3 linked regions of the Coturnix japonica genome follow. The main gene of each other region encodes a partner of the protein of the gene in region 3 in a complex. Links are inferred from orthologs where the notes say so. Each region holds a gene or a part of one and is shown on either strand. Other genes may lie near its edges.

Evidence for each region. The genes of interacting proteins can lie anywhere in the genome.
Region 1: HDAC3 (region 3) and NKAP share a complex: the UniProt entries of both Homo sapiens proteins name them as parts of the notch corepressor complex. The link is inferred for Coturnix japonica from reciprocal best matches to the Homo sapiens genes HDAC3 and NKAP.
Region 2: HDAC3 (region 3) and CORO2A share a complex: the UniProt entries of both Homo sapiens proteins name them as parts of the N-Cor repressor complex. The link is inferred for Coturnix japonica from reciprocal best matches to the Homo sapiens genes HDAC3 and CORO2A.

Annotation. Positions count from the first base shown.
Region 1 is NC_029519.1:15,370,983-15,376,000, forward strand, and holds the start of NKAP (NF-kappa-B-activating protein), read left to right. Parts: upstream 1-1,775; 5' UTR 1,776-1,790; coding exon 1,791-2,044; intron 2,045-2,304; coding exon 2,305-2,385; intron 2,386-2,843; coding exon 2,844-2,917; intron 2,918-3,110; coding exon 3,111-3,230; intron 3,231-3,355; coding exon 3,356-3,401; intron 3,402-3,778; coding exon 3,779-3,894; intron 3,895-4,036; coding exon 4,037-4,112; intron 4,113-4,598; coding exon 4,599-4,748; intron 4,749-5,018. Other genes in the region: ZBTB33 (transcriptional regulator Kaiso), read right to left, coding at 1,554-1,581. UniProt on the Homo sapiens protein: Acts as a transcriptional repressor. Plays a role as a transcriptional corepressor of the Notch-mediated signaling required for T-cell development. Also involved in the TNF and IL-1 induced NF-kappa-B activation.
Region 2 is NC_029547.1:62,366,879-62,371,884, reverse strand, and holds the start of CORO2A (coronin-2A), read left to right. Parts: upstream 1-1,763; 5' UTR 1,764-1,790; coding exon 1,791-1,835; intron 1,836-5,006.
Region 3 is NC_029528.1:14,737,099-14,741,618, forward strand, and holds part of HDAC3 (histone deacetylase 3), read left to right. Parts: intron 1-1,929; exon of another isoform or gene 1,930-1,949; intron 1,950-2,319; coding exon 2,320-2,462; intron 2,463-3,670; coding exon 3,671-3,752; intron 3,753-4,520. UniProt on the Homo sapiens protein: Histone deacetylase that catalyzes the deacetylation of lysine residues on the N-terminal part of the core histones (H2A, H2B, H3 and H4), and some other non-histone substrates.

The DNA.
Region 1 (5,018 bases), on a different chromosome or scaffold from region 3:
GGGCGGACGAGGGGGAGCCGCGGCTCGAGGAGCGGAACCGGGGCCCGCGTTACCTGGCACCCGCCGCCCTGCACCGCGCTCACGGGCACCGGCCCCGCCGCAGCCGCCGCTCGTCGGGCTCGGGCGCCGCCCCCTGACCGCGGCCGGCAGGAGGCGCTGCCACGCGCTGCCCGGCCCCGCGGGACGGCGGCACGGCGCTCCGCCCGAGCGCGCTCGGCTGCATTCGGAGCCACGAGCCGAGCGGCTTCGGCTGCCGACGGGAGCGCGTGGGCCGCGGGTGATGCCGCCTCCATCGAGGCCTCGGGCGGCCACGTCCGGCATTGACGCTGCGCTCCCGCTGCCCGGCTCTGCCCACCCCGTACCCTGCATTGGAGCGTGTGCGACAGCCATGTGCGGGCACACACCGGGCAGTCTCCTGGACACAGTGTGTGTGAGTGCTCTGCAGTGTTCTCACAGAGAACCCGAGCTCATGGCACGTTTTATCTGCGGTTCCTGATCTGTTTGATCCTACAGACTTTGCAGGAACTCACAGGAGAACCTACAGCTAAAGACAAGCACTGGTTTGGAAGGAGCAGTGCTCTGGGGTTCCCAAAACCAAGCTGTGAACTGCTTTACCATTCGGCCTTGCAAGGCCTCTTGCAGATCAGCCTCCAAAGTGTTTGGGGATTGAACAAGCATACAAACGTATACAGTGACAAGTTAAATGAAGCATGTTTTTCTAAGATGTGGACGTGTAGAGCACACAACAAGAGGTGGTGTTCAGTGGGTAAGAACACAAAGCAACTGTATTTTGATGCATGGAAATGATCCAAAAGGAGCCGCCTCAGCGCTGGGCACCACGTTGAGCTGGGGCTGCACCCACGATGGCAGAGCCCCGGCTGCACCTCTGGGTGCCTTTAATGGCTGCAGGGACGGGGCCCAGCACCAGCAATGTGGGTTAGCAGCAACCAGCTCTGCCTGTCGGTGTCGTAACCTTGTGTGCCGTGTGGGGATGCAGGGCCGGGTGGAGGGGGCAGGGCTGCGTTCCGGGATCCTCCCGAGATGGGAAGCACGGAACGAGCATTTGAGGCAGTACGGATTCAGCTGGCAGAGTGACAGGCACTGCAGCTTCCACCTGCCTCATCCACATCACCCTGCCCACAGCAGGCGTAAAAAACAGCCGTGTAAATAACAGCCGTGTAAAGAACAGCCGTGTAAATAAGAGCCGTGTAAGTAAGAACCGTGTAAATAAGAGCCGTGTATGTGCCCCGCGCTCCCACAGCCGCAGCATGGCGGCAGCGGGCCCGTGAAACCTGGGGCGGCAGCCGGTGTGCGGGAGCGGGGCCGGGCTGCGCTGACAGCCGCTCTGACAGCGGCGGGGCCGGACCGAGCCGGGATGGCCGCGAGAGCAGCGCGGGCTGATGTGCCGGCCGGCACCGGGCATCGGGCACCGGGGATCGCGGCCCGGCGAGCGCTCCCCCTCGCTCGGTGCTCACCCGGCCCCGCACCGCCGTCCCCCGGCCGCTCCCGGCTGCAGGCCGCTCCCGGTGCGCCGTCCGCCCGCGCCGCCTTACCTGGCCGCGGCTGTGCCCGCGCCTCCATGGTGCCGGGCGGTGACAAAGGAGCGGCCCCGCCGCCGTGTCGCCGTGTTTCCGCACGGCCGGTGGGGCACTGCGCCCCGCGGGCGGGGCTGCCCCGCTTCCGCCCCGCGCCCCGTCGCCGCCGCCTCCCGCCCCCGTCCGAGCAGCGCAGCGCGGCCCGGCGGCCGTCGGAAGTGCCGTCAGGCCGCCCGGAAATGCCGCCGCGCCATCATGGCGCCGGTGTCGCGCTCCCGCAGCCCGGCCGCCGCCAGCCCCGAGCGCCGCGGCCGCCGCTCCCGCTCCCGGTCCCGCTCCCGGTCCCGTAACGGATCGCGGCGCGGCTGCCACCGGCGGAGCCGCAGCTGGTCCCGATCCCGGGAGCGCAGCCCCGGCGGGACTCGAGCCTCCGCGCACCACGGGCACCACCACGGCAAGGCCTGGCCCGAGTACTACGAGAAGGAGAAGGAGGAGATCCTGCGGCAGAGGCCAGTACCAACGCGGGAACGGGGAACGGGCAACGGGCGGGTCTGCGGGCTCTCCCTGCTTGAGGCTGGGAGCCGCCGGCGCTGCACGAGCCTCTGGGTGCCGGGCTGGACTCTGCCCGCTCGGCCTGCGGGCGTGGGTTGGGCTGAGGTTGTTATTGAAGTCCCGTTCTCACGCTGTTATGGGCAGTGGGACATGCCCGCAAGCAGCTGCTCGCTGGGTGCGACGTGTCAGCGTCCAGTAACGGTGTGCTTCATTCCAGGAGACTCAATGAGAGGGAGAGAATCGGAGAGCTGGGAGCACCTGAAGTCTGGGGGCTTTCGCCAAAGGTTCCTGACCCTGAGTAAGGCACAGTTTTGCTTCTCACTCTGTTTTTTATGATATCAATTCTAGAGGAATTTACAATAACGCATGAGTCCTCTGGTGCCACAATTCATTGTGTCAGAAGCATCTGAACCAACATAAGCAAACAGACGTTATTCAGATAATCCCATCACATCAGTTACTCAAGACATGACGCAATTACATGATTTCCCATGGCAGGGGGTTGAAACTGGATGATTGTTATGGTCCTTTTCAACCCAGGGCATTCTATGATACATTCTATACTGTGATAGGTGCCTTTTCTGCTGTGGTTCTGAAAACAGTTGCTGTCTCGCACGCTGGCCATTGCACAGTTTGCTCTGTTGCAAGTAGTGGCTCAAAATCCACAAGCACGTGTTTCAGTGTATGTGTGCATCTGATCTTCAGTTACTAAATACTACAAAATAGATCTTAAAAAGCAAACTTGTTTTTCTTCAGTTCTGATGAGCACACGCCAGTAGAAGACGAAGAGGCAAAATCCAAGAGCAGCTCTTCGGATTCCAGCTCGGAAGGTATTTGGCTTTGTTTATACAGCTCATTTTGATAACCAGTCGCTACCTAGAAACTGCTGTTGTTGCTGTCAGGAAGTTCACTGACTTGGGTTGAAGTGAGTGTGATAGGCCCTGTTGCTTTGGGATGCTCCAGATGTATACACGGAACTAAGTCTTCATCTTTTTCTAATGTTATCTTTTATAAACATTCCAGAGGAAAAAAGGAAGAAGAAGAAGAAGCGAAAGAAGAGAAAACGGAAGGCGTCCAAACGGAAACACAGAAAACATTCTGAGGACAGTGACAGCGAGTCCGAGTCCGACCAGAGCTCCAGTGGTAAGGGAGAACAAATGATGTCCAAGCTGTGTATTGAGATGTTCTGGTGGAGGCATTAACTAATTCACAGTGTATGCTTTTTGATGATGCATAATCTTCCCTTTTTTTTGTTTTTTGTTTTTCAGATGAAGATAAAAAGAAAAGCAAAAGGAAGAAAAGGAAGCACAGGAAGTAAGTTTCCAAGCTGTGAAGTATAATTGCATCTACTTTTAAGCGCAGTCTTAGCAGGAACGGAGGGAAGCTGAGCGCTCCTGTAATTAGAGCTGTAAATGCAGGTGGATAATCATAATTTGACTGGCATCAAATGTACAGAATCCCAGAGCACAGAGAGATCCTTGAAACACAGGGAGCCGCTTTCGAGCGCTGTATGAAAGCCATAACAGTGGATGTGTTGTCTTTGTTTAACTATCGGTTGTTTTCAATCAAACAGCAATGTAAATGCAGACTGTCCTTGGTGGAAGGTATCTTGAGAAACTCATAACTTGAGTATGACTCCTAGCACGTTTTTTTATCTTAAATGCTGGTGGATAACTTGGGTGTTATTGCAGGAAGAAGTACAAGAAAAAGAAAAATAAAAAGAGCCGGAAGGAATCCAGTGATTCCAGCAGTGAAGATTCTGATGATGGAACAGTTCAAGGGGAGGATCTCTGGATTGAGAGATCAAGTAGGTGCCCGTAGATTTGTCTTGAAACTTCTTGGTGTTCTTTTCATGCTTTTTTTTTTTTAAGTGTTTGCTGCCTTGTTGACTGCTCTGATAACAAAGAAGAGGCACAGTATTGATCTGCTTCACTATTTGATCATTGCAGAAAATACAGAAGCTGATAGCTTGATTGGACCAGAAGCTCCCAAAACACATGCGTCTCAAGATGATAGGCCTTTAAAGTGAGTACTCTAAATGGTACCTTGATTGAGTCAAGTAAATCTAGCATAAAGATTTCTGCTCAGAAAGACCTAAAATAATATGATTTATATCAAGAGGGATGCTGTACCAGAAACTAAGAAGTGGTAGTGGTGCTAGTCTTTACTCTGACCTGAGTTTAAGTAGAAAAGTCTGTTTTACGCATTTTAGCCTGGGTTCGTAGAAAATTAATTGGTTTTTACTTCAGTAAAGTGCCTTTACTCTAATGCTCTGCAGAGCTGTGACTTCATACAGCCTTCATTACTGGTTAACCAGAATTTATTAAACTGCTTACTTAAAATGTTCTTGCTGAGATTAGCTGTAAGTATGAAATGGGAACGTACTTGGGAAATAGTAAGGAAGTCCTTAAAATGTAGCTGGTAGTGACTGGGGGAGCTGGATGTTTGGCTCAGGCTCACTCTAGTTGAGACTGATTAAAATCCCTCCTGTTTGTCTCTCTGTTTCTTTAGCTATGGGCACGCCCTGTTGCCGGGTGAAGGTGCAGCAATGGCAGAGTATGTAAAAGCAGGAAAACGCATTCCTCGGAGAGGTGAGATTGGCTTGACCAGTGAAGAAATTGCATCGTTTGAGAGCTCCGGTTACGTGATGAGCGGCAGCAGGTATGTTTCTTATGATGGTAATATTTCAGTAACATTTTCCAAAGCTGCTTCCTTTGTTGGCCTGCTGAAAAGCTGTTCCCAGGCTGTAGCTGAAAGCTCTGAAGAGCACGTGCTCTGTACGCTTTCAGTGGCATATGCTGAACTCTACTGCTATATATAGATGCATAGTTTCTTAAAGTCACTTTTTCCTGAAGAATCAAAATTATTTCCAGATAGTATGCTTCAAATTCTCTTTATTTCAAATTAGATGCTTGTCTCCAATGGCCCTAA
Region 2 (5,006 bases), on a different chromosome or scaffold from region 3:
AATGTGGGAAGGTGGAGTTGTCTCTCAGGTTTATTTTGGTTCCTGTGGGAATCCGTAGGGGCACAAGATGTGTCTCTTGCCTGGCTGGAAAATGCTGGGAACGACCCTTGCTCTTTGTTTAGCTTTGAGCAGTCATTGGTGACAGCACTGAGTTTGCACCAGAGAGGAGGTCTCACCTTGGTGTGAAGCCAGCTGGCTATGGGCACGGCATGGCAATTTGGACTGCTGGGGACAGCTGAGTCTTCTGACCCACAGCTGACCAGGATGAGCTGGAATATACAGCATGAGATACAAGGACTCCTATCAGCCAGTTTCAAAGAACGGCAGAAGTCTGAGCTGGCAGAGCCCTCTGGAGGCCGACACACAGGATGAATTTACATTCAAAGTGGAGCTGGGGTTTTGGAAAGAGTGGGAGCCCTGCAGCAGATAGGTCCGCTGTGTGTCAGTAACAGCTGTGCACGCTGACAGTGTAGGGTGAGAATAAAGTGTTACTCATGTCTTACCACAGTATCTCAAAACAAAAACAAACAACCAAACACCAGCTTTTACAGAGGTTATCTCTGCATGAAATCCACGAGGATACTTTGTGCTGCCAAAGCCACCTGTTATGGCTGGAAAACAAGAGTTTGAGATGGAGCACCTGGAGTCCAGTAGTTCCACCTGCCTGCACGGGCACTTGTGAACTACACAGAACTCTTTGCTGGCTCCTGGGCTGACAACAGGTGGCTATGGGAGGCTTCAGCCCAGGTCTGAACCACCACTGCCTTCATACCCCTTAGCAAATCCCTTACTTGTAAAAGTGCCGGTGCATAGCAGAGCAACTCGATCCACTCCTGTACCCTGGCGTGCTGCCCTGACAGAGCCAGGCCCAGGACTCTTTTATTTTTGACTTGGGTTAATTTTTATCCCAGTCCCGGACTTCTCTTCCAGGTGGAATGACAGAGCAGGGAGTGAAGGCCTCGCCATGAGAGTGGAGTGACAAGGCCCTGTCACAGGACCTGCCTGCAGTGCTTGTGCTGTTTATGGCTTTTTCTTTTTTTCCTCTTTCTTTTTGTTGGGAAAAGAAACTCCAAAAGCAAGTTCAAATCAACAGTCATATTTTGCTTTATCCTCTGATAGTTTAATGTTTTTCAACACAATAAAATCCTCTTGCATGTAGAAACTGAAAAAAACCCACTAATTTTGACAAGGGCAGTGTTTAAATCAGCCCCTGAACTCCATGTTATGCCTCTACACCACCTGCCACCACGTGTGCACCGCAACCAGTGCGAGGACACCCGAACTGCAGCATCCTGCCCCATGAGAGCACAGTCCTACAGCCCAGAGCTGCCGCCGCGACCGACTGATGTGTGCGGGACGTGGGTACGGGACGGAGCGATGTCAGCCGGGTAACCGGCCAGGGACGTGTCTTTTACTCTGTCACTGGTCTTGGGCATTGCCAGCTACCCAGGCATGGCCCCAGGGCCGGGCTGCGGCTCTGCGGATGAAGGCATGAGGCTCCGAGTCCATACATGCCAGCAAACACGCGCTGCTGGGGCCGCCGAGCCGCGGCAGCGCTGTGACTGCGGGCAGATGACAGCAAGGTGTTTCCCTGCTAAACGCGCCCCAAACCGCACCGCAGCTCCTTGGCGACGTCGGGGGACCGCACAAGGCTGCCGGGGGGCGGGCGAGGTGCCGGAGCACCGTAACACCATCCGCACCGGGAACCCGCGGACACCTCCCGGCTGCGGGGCGCGGCATGGGGGCGGGCCGGGGCGGGGAGCGGGCTGGGCTGGCGCGGCGCTGCTCCCATGTGCACGCCCTGCGGGCCGCCGGACCCCGCGGCCAGCAGCGAGGTAAGGAGCGGGGCGGCGCGGGGCAGAGACGCGCGTGGGGAGGGGAAGGTCGGGCACCTGCCGCTGCCGGGAGCGGGACGGCCGGTGGCGAAGGGACGGCTCGTGCAGCCGCTGCCGTGCGGGGAAGCCGGGGGCGGTGCCGGTGCGGCGCTGCGGGGCTCCTGCAGCCCCACCCCGCTTTGTGCGGAGCGGCCGCCGCCATCCGCGGACGCGGGGACAGCGCGGGGACGCGGCGGGGAGCGGCTGTCCCTCGGCCGGGGCTGCATCCCCGTGGAGCGGTGTCCGCCTCCCGGCATCACCGCGTTGCCGAGGCGGCCCTGCGAGGAGCCCGCCGCTGCATCGGGGCTCCCTCGGGTCGCGGCGATGTAACCCCGCCCGCCCGACACCTGCTCGCCGTGCTGGCCGCCCTGCCTGGCCATGCAGCGGTTGGGCATCCGTAAACTTCGCCTGCGATCCCGAGAGCAGCCCCATGTATGTGCGAGCGGCAGGTTGAACGAGGAGCCTTTGTTCTGGAGTCTCAGGAGTGCGGGGTGTGGGATGTCAGTGCAGGCTGCGCCGCACACACGGGTCCCGCGGGTGGGTGCCCCGTGTCCCACCCGTGCTGGAAGGGAGGGAGGCTGGATTCACCAGTCGGCTCTGTTAGATTAAGGTCCACTCAAGGTCCAAACATAATAATCAGTCTTAAAGAGAATGCCTGTACTAAAATGGTCTTTGAAGTGTTGTCACTCTCGTATCTAAGATGTGCAGCTGAACTGTGTGACTTTTAAAGAAACTGCAATAAACCCTGTATTACTTAACAACTTCTAGTGGGAAAAGTAAAGAGAGAGAGAGATAGACAGGAACGGAGAAGGTGACTATCAGTTGGGGTTCCAGTGTTGATGCAGCCCACAGGGTTCTTAGTCTATGACAGCTCTCCTCCCTAAGTCCCCAGGTCCCACCTGAGCTTCTCGCAGCCATCCTATGCCTGCGGGGTCCACACGTCCGCAGTCAGACCCACGTTGTGTGACAGTCACTGTGTCCTCCCTTAGGACAGGAGTTTTGGCCAGAGCGAGCCCATCCTGTTTCCACAGGGCTCCCTCTTGACCACATCTTCGAGCTGCCTGTCTGCTGTCACAGCAATGCTCTTATCTTACCACAGATAAAGCATTTCTCTTGGGCCCACTGCACTGGGGAGGCGAGTGATGTGTGGTGCCTCTCTGAGCATCCACAGTGCAGGGAGTGGTGCCCTCCTGCTTCTGGTTGGTGTCCATGGCAGTGGTCTCCCTGCTGGCTGTTATCTGGACCTGTGATGGCTCTCTGACTCTGTGTCTGTGATATTTTCTTCCTTGAACACACTGGTTTGTAACCTGGGAAACATTTCAGTGAATGGATAACATCTTGAACTTTTCTGCATCTGGTAATGTTATTAGCAGCTGGATAATGAGAGGATTTGGGGATGTCTGGCTCTGTGCTGGATTTGTGGCAGCTCTCTTGGCACTGAGCCTGCTGCTGGTCCCTGGAGCTGTCTTGTAGGACCTGCATGGGGACCATTTTCTCCTCCTAGTGGGGCTGCCAATGCCCCTGTTCTGCATGAGGTTCCCTGTCCTTCCAGCTGTGGATATCCAGGTGTTTTGGTGTTGCAGAGATATAGGAAGGGCACTGGAGGTATCTGTAAGTGCCCATAAAGGAAGATGATGTCCTGGAGCAGGACATGGATGCCTCACAGATGAGCTAAGGGAAGTTTTGTGTTCTGCATGACCATGTGGGCTCCTCTAGATGTGGTCCTGACATCTTTGTATTGCTTGGCCAACAGTGGCTTCAGCGGAAGCCTTCATCCCAGCTCAGTGGGCCCCAGTTTCTAGAGTGAGGATCTCACAGAGAACCTGTCAGAGGGTGGTAAGGCATGAGAGGACTTCTGTGAAGGAATAGGGTGCAGGAAGACCAGCCCAGAGCAGTTCTCTGCAGCTGCTCTTGGTTGGTGCAACAGGACCTCTGTACTTGTTATTTATATATATTTGGTGTGTTAGCTTCAATGGAAAAATGAAGGAACAACTGCTCCTCCTGCTTCCCCCCCGTTATCTTCCTTTCTTCCACTTATAAACAGCAGTGGTAATTTTTGGCAAGGATGCTGTAGCCAGTGTTGCGGAGGCTGTGGGGCTGATGCCTTGCTGTGTGGGGCTGCATTGGTTGGATGAGACTGGCCTCCTCCAGGTGGAGGCAGGGCCGCCAGCAGCCTGCTCTCCTGCTGCAGGGCACAGCCAGGTGCCCCTGGCTTCCCACAGGTGCAAGCTGAGCTGCTTGGATTGTGCAGAGCTGGCTGGAACAAACCGCCAGCGGCGTGCGACAATTATACTGGCGCGCCTTCTGCCTTCTCGCAGCAGGAACAGGAAAGACCTTGGGGTAAACCCCCTCTGTGGGCCGAGAGGGGTTTGACACACACAGGGTGATGCTGGCTGGTAAGTGGAGTCAACCTGGCCTGGTATTTCCAGGGATTTCCCCTTTGCGGTATGACAGGCTTGCCAGCAATTCTCCATATTGAAAAGACGCCCTGCAGGGCTGTGCTAGGGTAATGCTGACGTTTGCTCTTCCCAAGGCACTCTGACGTTCACAAATAGGACTTCTCAGCCCTCAGCCAAGCAAAGCTCTTTCTCAGACTCAGGGGCATGCCACAGCCCATGGAAGGACCACTAACAGAACTCAGCCCTGAGACCGTTCCCTCTTTCCCTCTTGACTGTCTACCTGCTTTGTTTCACCCAGCACTGCACCCTGTGGTGCACAGTCTGAAGTCTGGCTTCTCAGTCCCTCTCTCTTTAGGTCACCCTTCATAGCATCACAGAATCATAGAATGGCCTGGGTTGAAAAGGAGCACAATGATCATCTGGTTTCAATCCCCTGCTATGTGCAGGGTCACCAACCACCAGACCAGGCTGCCCAGAGCCACATCCAGCCTGGCCTTGAATGCCTCCAGGGATGGGGTACCCTTCTGGGATGTGCAGGGGTTGTGCTTGGGCTTTGTTCTGGTATGCAGGGATGCTCACCCTGCAGAGGGATGGTCTTCTGCACCTGTCTGCACCACCTCTCAGTCACTGAAGGACAAAGTTACCAAGAAGGACAATAAGGAAGACAAGGCAGCAGCAACTCACAGTGCCTATGGTATTTTTATGACTGAATTTGAGGCAAAGTCCACGGAAC
Region 3 (4,520 bases):
TACTAAAACCAGAGCTGTGTTACTGTGAGCACGGGAGAGCAGTGGTGTTGATTCTGGCACATCTTGCTCTGGCGTGGTGTCTGCAGGACAAGGTGCAAAATTCTTGCAGGCAGGGTAGCAAAGTGTGAGCAGACAAATTAATGCAAGCAGGAAAACTGGATCTCAGCTTCTTTAAACGTGCCACACCATTTTGACATGATCTTTTAGCGCTCTGAGTGCCTGGCATTTGGCGTGGGCTCAAGTTCAAGCTGTTCCACTGCCAGAGCACTCTGTGGTGAGAGACCTGGGGATTGAGTGGGAGGAAATAGAAAATGAGCTGTCCCAAAATGAACACACGGCATCAATTTTTAAAAAGGAGATGCTAAAATGGGCCGGTGAAACTGCTCCGTGATGCAAGATCTGCAATTAATTCAGAATGATGAAGTATTAAAAAAGCTCCCTTGTGCATTCAGTGTTACTCCTGCAGTTTGGTGTTCAGTAACATCGCATCCTTTGGATTTTTCTGCTGCCATTGTAGGAGCTTTTGCAGGTGTATTAATCAGCAGCTGCTGAGAGTTGAGCCCTATGCAGGGTCCATCCTCACACTGGTGTATGCTGACTTCTTTGGCCAGTCACTGGGAAGCCAATCCCTGTTTGGCACAGTGATGGAATGCAGGCTGGAGGGGATGCTCTATCCCCCTTTAATATCAGCTCTCTCTTCCCAGTGGAACTCCTGGTCCTTGCCACCCACCCTGCCATGTGGCCTTTCCCTTCCTTTGATTTTCTTGTCCCCATCTCCTGCCCCAGCAAAACCTGCTCTTTTTTCTCCTTCCACACTCTGAGGCTTTTTCTCTGCCTCAATTTAGCGGAGGGTTGTTGGAGTTAGGGTACTATGGTTAGGCTGTGGTTGGACTTGATGATCTTTTAGGTCTTTTCCAACCTGAGTGATTCTATGATTCCCTGCTTTTTCTGCTGTGTGTTCCTGCTGCCTTTCCTATGCTGCATTTGGAAGCTGCTGGATCCTGTGGGAACAGATGGAACTCGGTCACTCAGCAAAACCAGGAGAGCTTTGTGCTGAGCTGGCTGAGCGAGGGGCTGAGTGCCAGGCATGCTCAGGGAGGTGCCTGGGGTTATGGCTGCAGTGAGTGAAGGGCAAGATGAGGGGAAAAGAGGCAGCTTTCCACTTTTACCAACAGCAAGTAGGTCTGGAAGCTTTTGATGTTGTCTTTTTTTGTTGTTTTTCATCCCTCCTTTCTGCTCCCCCTGGTTGTTTTTTATCCAAGAGCACCTCTTAATGTCCTGTGAGTGTCTCTTCTTTTCTGTGACACTGTGGTCTTGAGGTGATCAGTCATCAGGATTCCTGATAGTCCTTGTGGGGGTCCAGCCCCACCTGCTGGTCCCACCCTCCTGGCTCCAGCTGTCTCAGGCAGCAGCCTCTGAGGAGCAGAGCTCCACACATTCACATTGAAAGCACCGTGCCTCATGCTGAGCAGTACAGTTGCACAGTAAAGGAGATGTCATGTTTGTTAGGTTGTATTTTACTTCTGAAAAGTATCCAGGGTCCTGCCTGGCCCAAGGGAGGTGCGCTGTGGGAGCTGCCCCAGCATGTTCTCCCTCTGGAGAGTGTGCTTTAATTAAGACAAGCTTTGAAAGATGGAAGATTTTGTTACTGCTTTCAGTGTAGCTTTAATTTCCCCTTTTTGGGTATGTGGTGTTGATTTTTAACTTCCTGTTTATTGAGGTATGCGTGTTAAGTGCCAAACTGGCAAATGTGTGTTGTCATGAGAACTTTAGTTCGAATCCATCCGGCCACGTGACTGTTTTTAGCTGACTTTCCAAAGGAAACAAAGCTTATGCAAATGTTCCATCTGCCTAAGAACCTTCTTCAAATGAATGTCTGAACTTACCAGCCCCTGGAGGCGGCTGTGATGGAGGGTTGGAACCTCCATTACATCAGGATGTTGTGACTGGTGAGGCAGTAGTGCTCCCCATGAGGACAGAGCTGAAGTTTGGATTCGACTGCCTTTTATTTTTGCTGGTTTGCCATTTGTCCAACCAAAGCGAGGGGGGATAGTGTTGGAAAAAAGGGATCAGAGAGTGTATAGGAGAAGCTGCAGTTATTATGAAGGACTGGAGTTGCAGTTATGGCTAAAAGATAGGAATCTGTTGGGAAACAGGCTTTATGGAATGTTGCATGTCAATGAACGTGAATATCAGGAAGCTGGTGTACTGGAACACTTTTAGATACACTTTGTGTGGGTCATTTGTCAGCCTGAGGTTTCTTACAGTCAAAGCAAACACAGCTTTGGACAGCATGTAAGTCTTGTCTTTCTCTTGAAGGTTTTCAAGCCATACCAGGCATCGCAGCATGACATGTGCAGATTCCACTCCGAGGACTACATAGACTTCCTGCAGAGAGTGAGTCCCAACAACATGCAGGGCTTCACCAAAAGCCTCAATGCCTTCAATGTGGGCGATGACTGGTGAGTGCTCTGTGCCTCCTGTGAACCTGGGGGTGGAAATGCTGCTGTGATCTTGCACTGTTTGTGTCTGGAGAACTATTGTAGTGTGTACTGGTTCTTATTTTTTAAGCAGAATGAGGTGCATGCCCTTCTTGAGCATAGCAGATTATTGCAACCTCCTCAATTCCTTCCCCTTCTCTTCATATCTTATCATCCTCCTTTTAGATCTGCATTTACATCCTAAACTGGTTATGTTAGAGACTGTGACTCCGCTTGTTCTTGCAGAACCTCCTGTTCTTCTTGAAAATATTATATATCTATTTTTTTAAACTGTTGCCTATTTTAGCTACCTTAATATGTGCATGTTAAGTGCAAGGTAGCTCTGAGAGCCTGATTTTCAGGTAGAACTGAGGAGAGTTTAATGCTTCTATATTCACATGAGAGCTTGTTACAAATATTCAGTTCCAGTCTTTCACATCTGTGAGAGGCAAACCTTGACAGAAGTGTGTAGAAGGGCTGTATGTGATCGAGGAAGTGCACAGTATGCCTTGTCTGAGGAAAGTAATGGCTGTCAGAGAATAAGACTGTTCTTTTCTATTCTTTGGAAGGGAAAGCTGTAAGTACTAATGTGAGAGGAGTGACATTAGATAAAGAACAGTGTTATCCCAGTAAGGTATTGGGATAGCCGGGTTTTTAATATTTAGACTGGGAATCAGAAGGCTGTTGTGCAACATTACTTTGATCAGAAACCACTTACAAGAATACAGGGGGGGAAATAAAAGTCTCTAAGCTATTATTTGTCCACGTATAATGTTTGTGATGTGATACTTGTGAGTTAGTGGCACATGGGCACCACATCTTCTGTTTCTATACCCTCTTAGAGATCCTGGTGCATTTATTGGCTCTGCATGGTGGGTTTGGTCCTGCCTCAGCTCTGCTGTAAGAGCTGCATTCACATCCACTTACTGTATATTGCATCCTGTGCTGTGAGTTGGGAAGGGGAATGGGCAGGGTCTTCTCAATGCTGATAAAGGAAGATAGCATGGGGCAGACCTGTCCTCCTTCCCAAGTCATATCCCAGCTCTGGACACACATCAGCAGGGCTGCAAGACAGATGCTGGTGTGTTGTGGCAGAGGAGAGCTCTCAGGACTGGCTTTGCTTGGGAGGCGTGTGGAGGAATAAGAAGATGTCCTTTGTTTGAATCATGACTTCTTTTTTTCTTTTTCAGCCCAGTGTTTCCAGGGCTCTTTGAGTTTTGCTCTCGCTACACTGGGGCCTCCTTGCAGGGAGCAACGCAGCTGAACAACAAGGTAACAGAGCTGATGGGCTTGTCTTTGAAACACTGGTAGGAAACAACTGGCTATCAGTTCAATGACATGAATGTGTTTAGTATAATAATGTAGCAAACTATGCTTTTTTGCAGTGTAAATTCTTTCCACTATATGACTGTAAAGGTTAAGACCATTCCTATGTCATTACAATGACAAAATTATAAACTCAGTTAACTTGGAAGAGACTTCTGAGATTATCAAGTCCAACTGTTCACCTAACAATGCAAGTCTACCACTAAACTAAATCCTTAAGCTCCACATCCACAAGTCTTTTCAATATCTCTAGGAATGGAAACTCCCCTGCCTCCCAGGGCAGCCTGCTCCCTACCTGACCACTCTTTCTGTGAATAAATTCTTCCTGATATCCAATCTAAACCTCCCCTGGTGCAACTTGAGGCTGTTTCCTCACATCCTATCACTTGTTACCTGAGAAAAGAGACTGTTATCTCCTTGCTGCATCCTCCTTTCAAGTAGCTGTATAGAGTGATGAGTTCTGTCCCAAACATCCTCTTCTCCAGGCTGATCTGCCCCAATTCCTTCAGCTGCTCCTCATATGCCTTCACAATCATTTAGCTGTTGAATACAGAGAGAGTCACAGCTTGCTAATACTGTGCATAGTAAATCCAGAAGTGCTTTTAGCACTGTACAACAATAAGCCTGTGTTCTTCAAAGAAACTCACCTGCTGAGAGATGTCCAGAATGCTGCTAGGTGTCTGCTATGAAAATGCATTAAATGGGACCACTCAG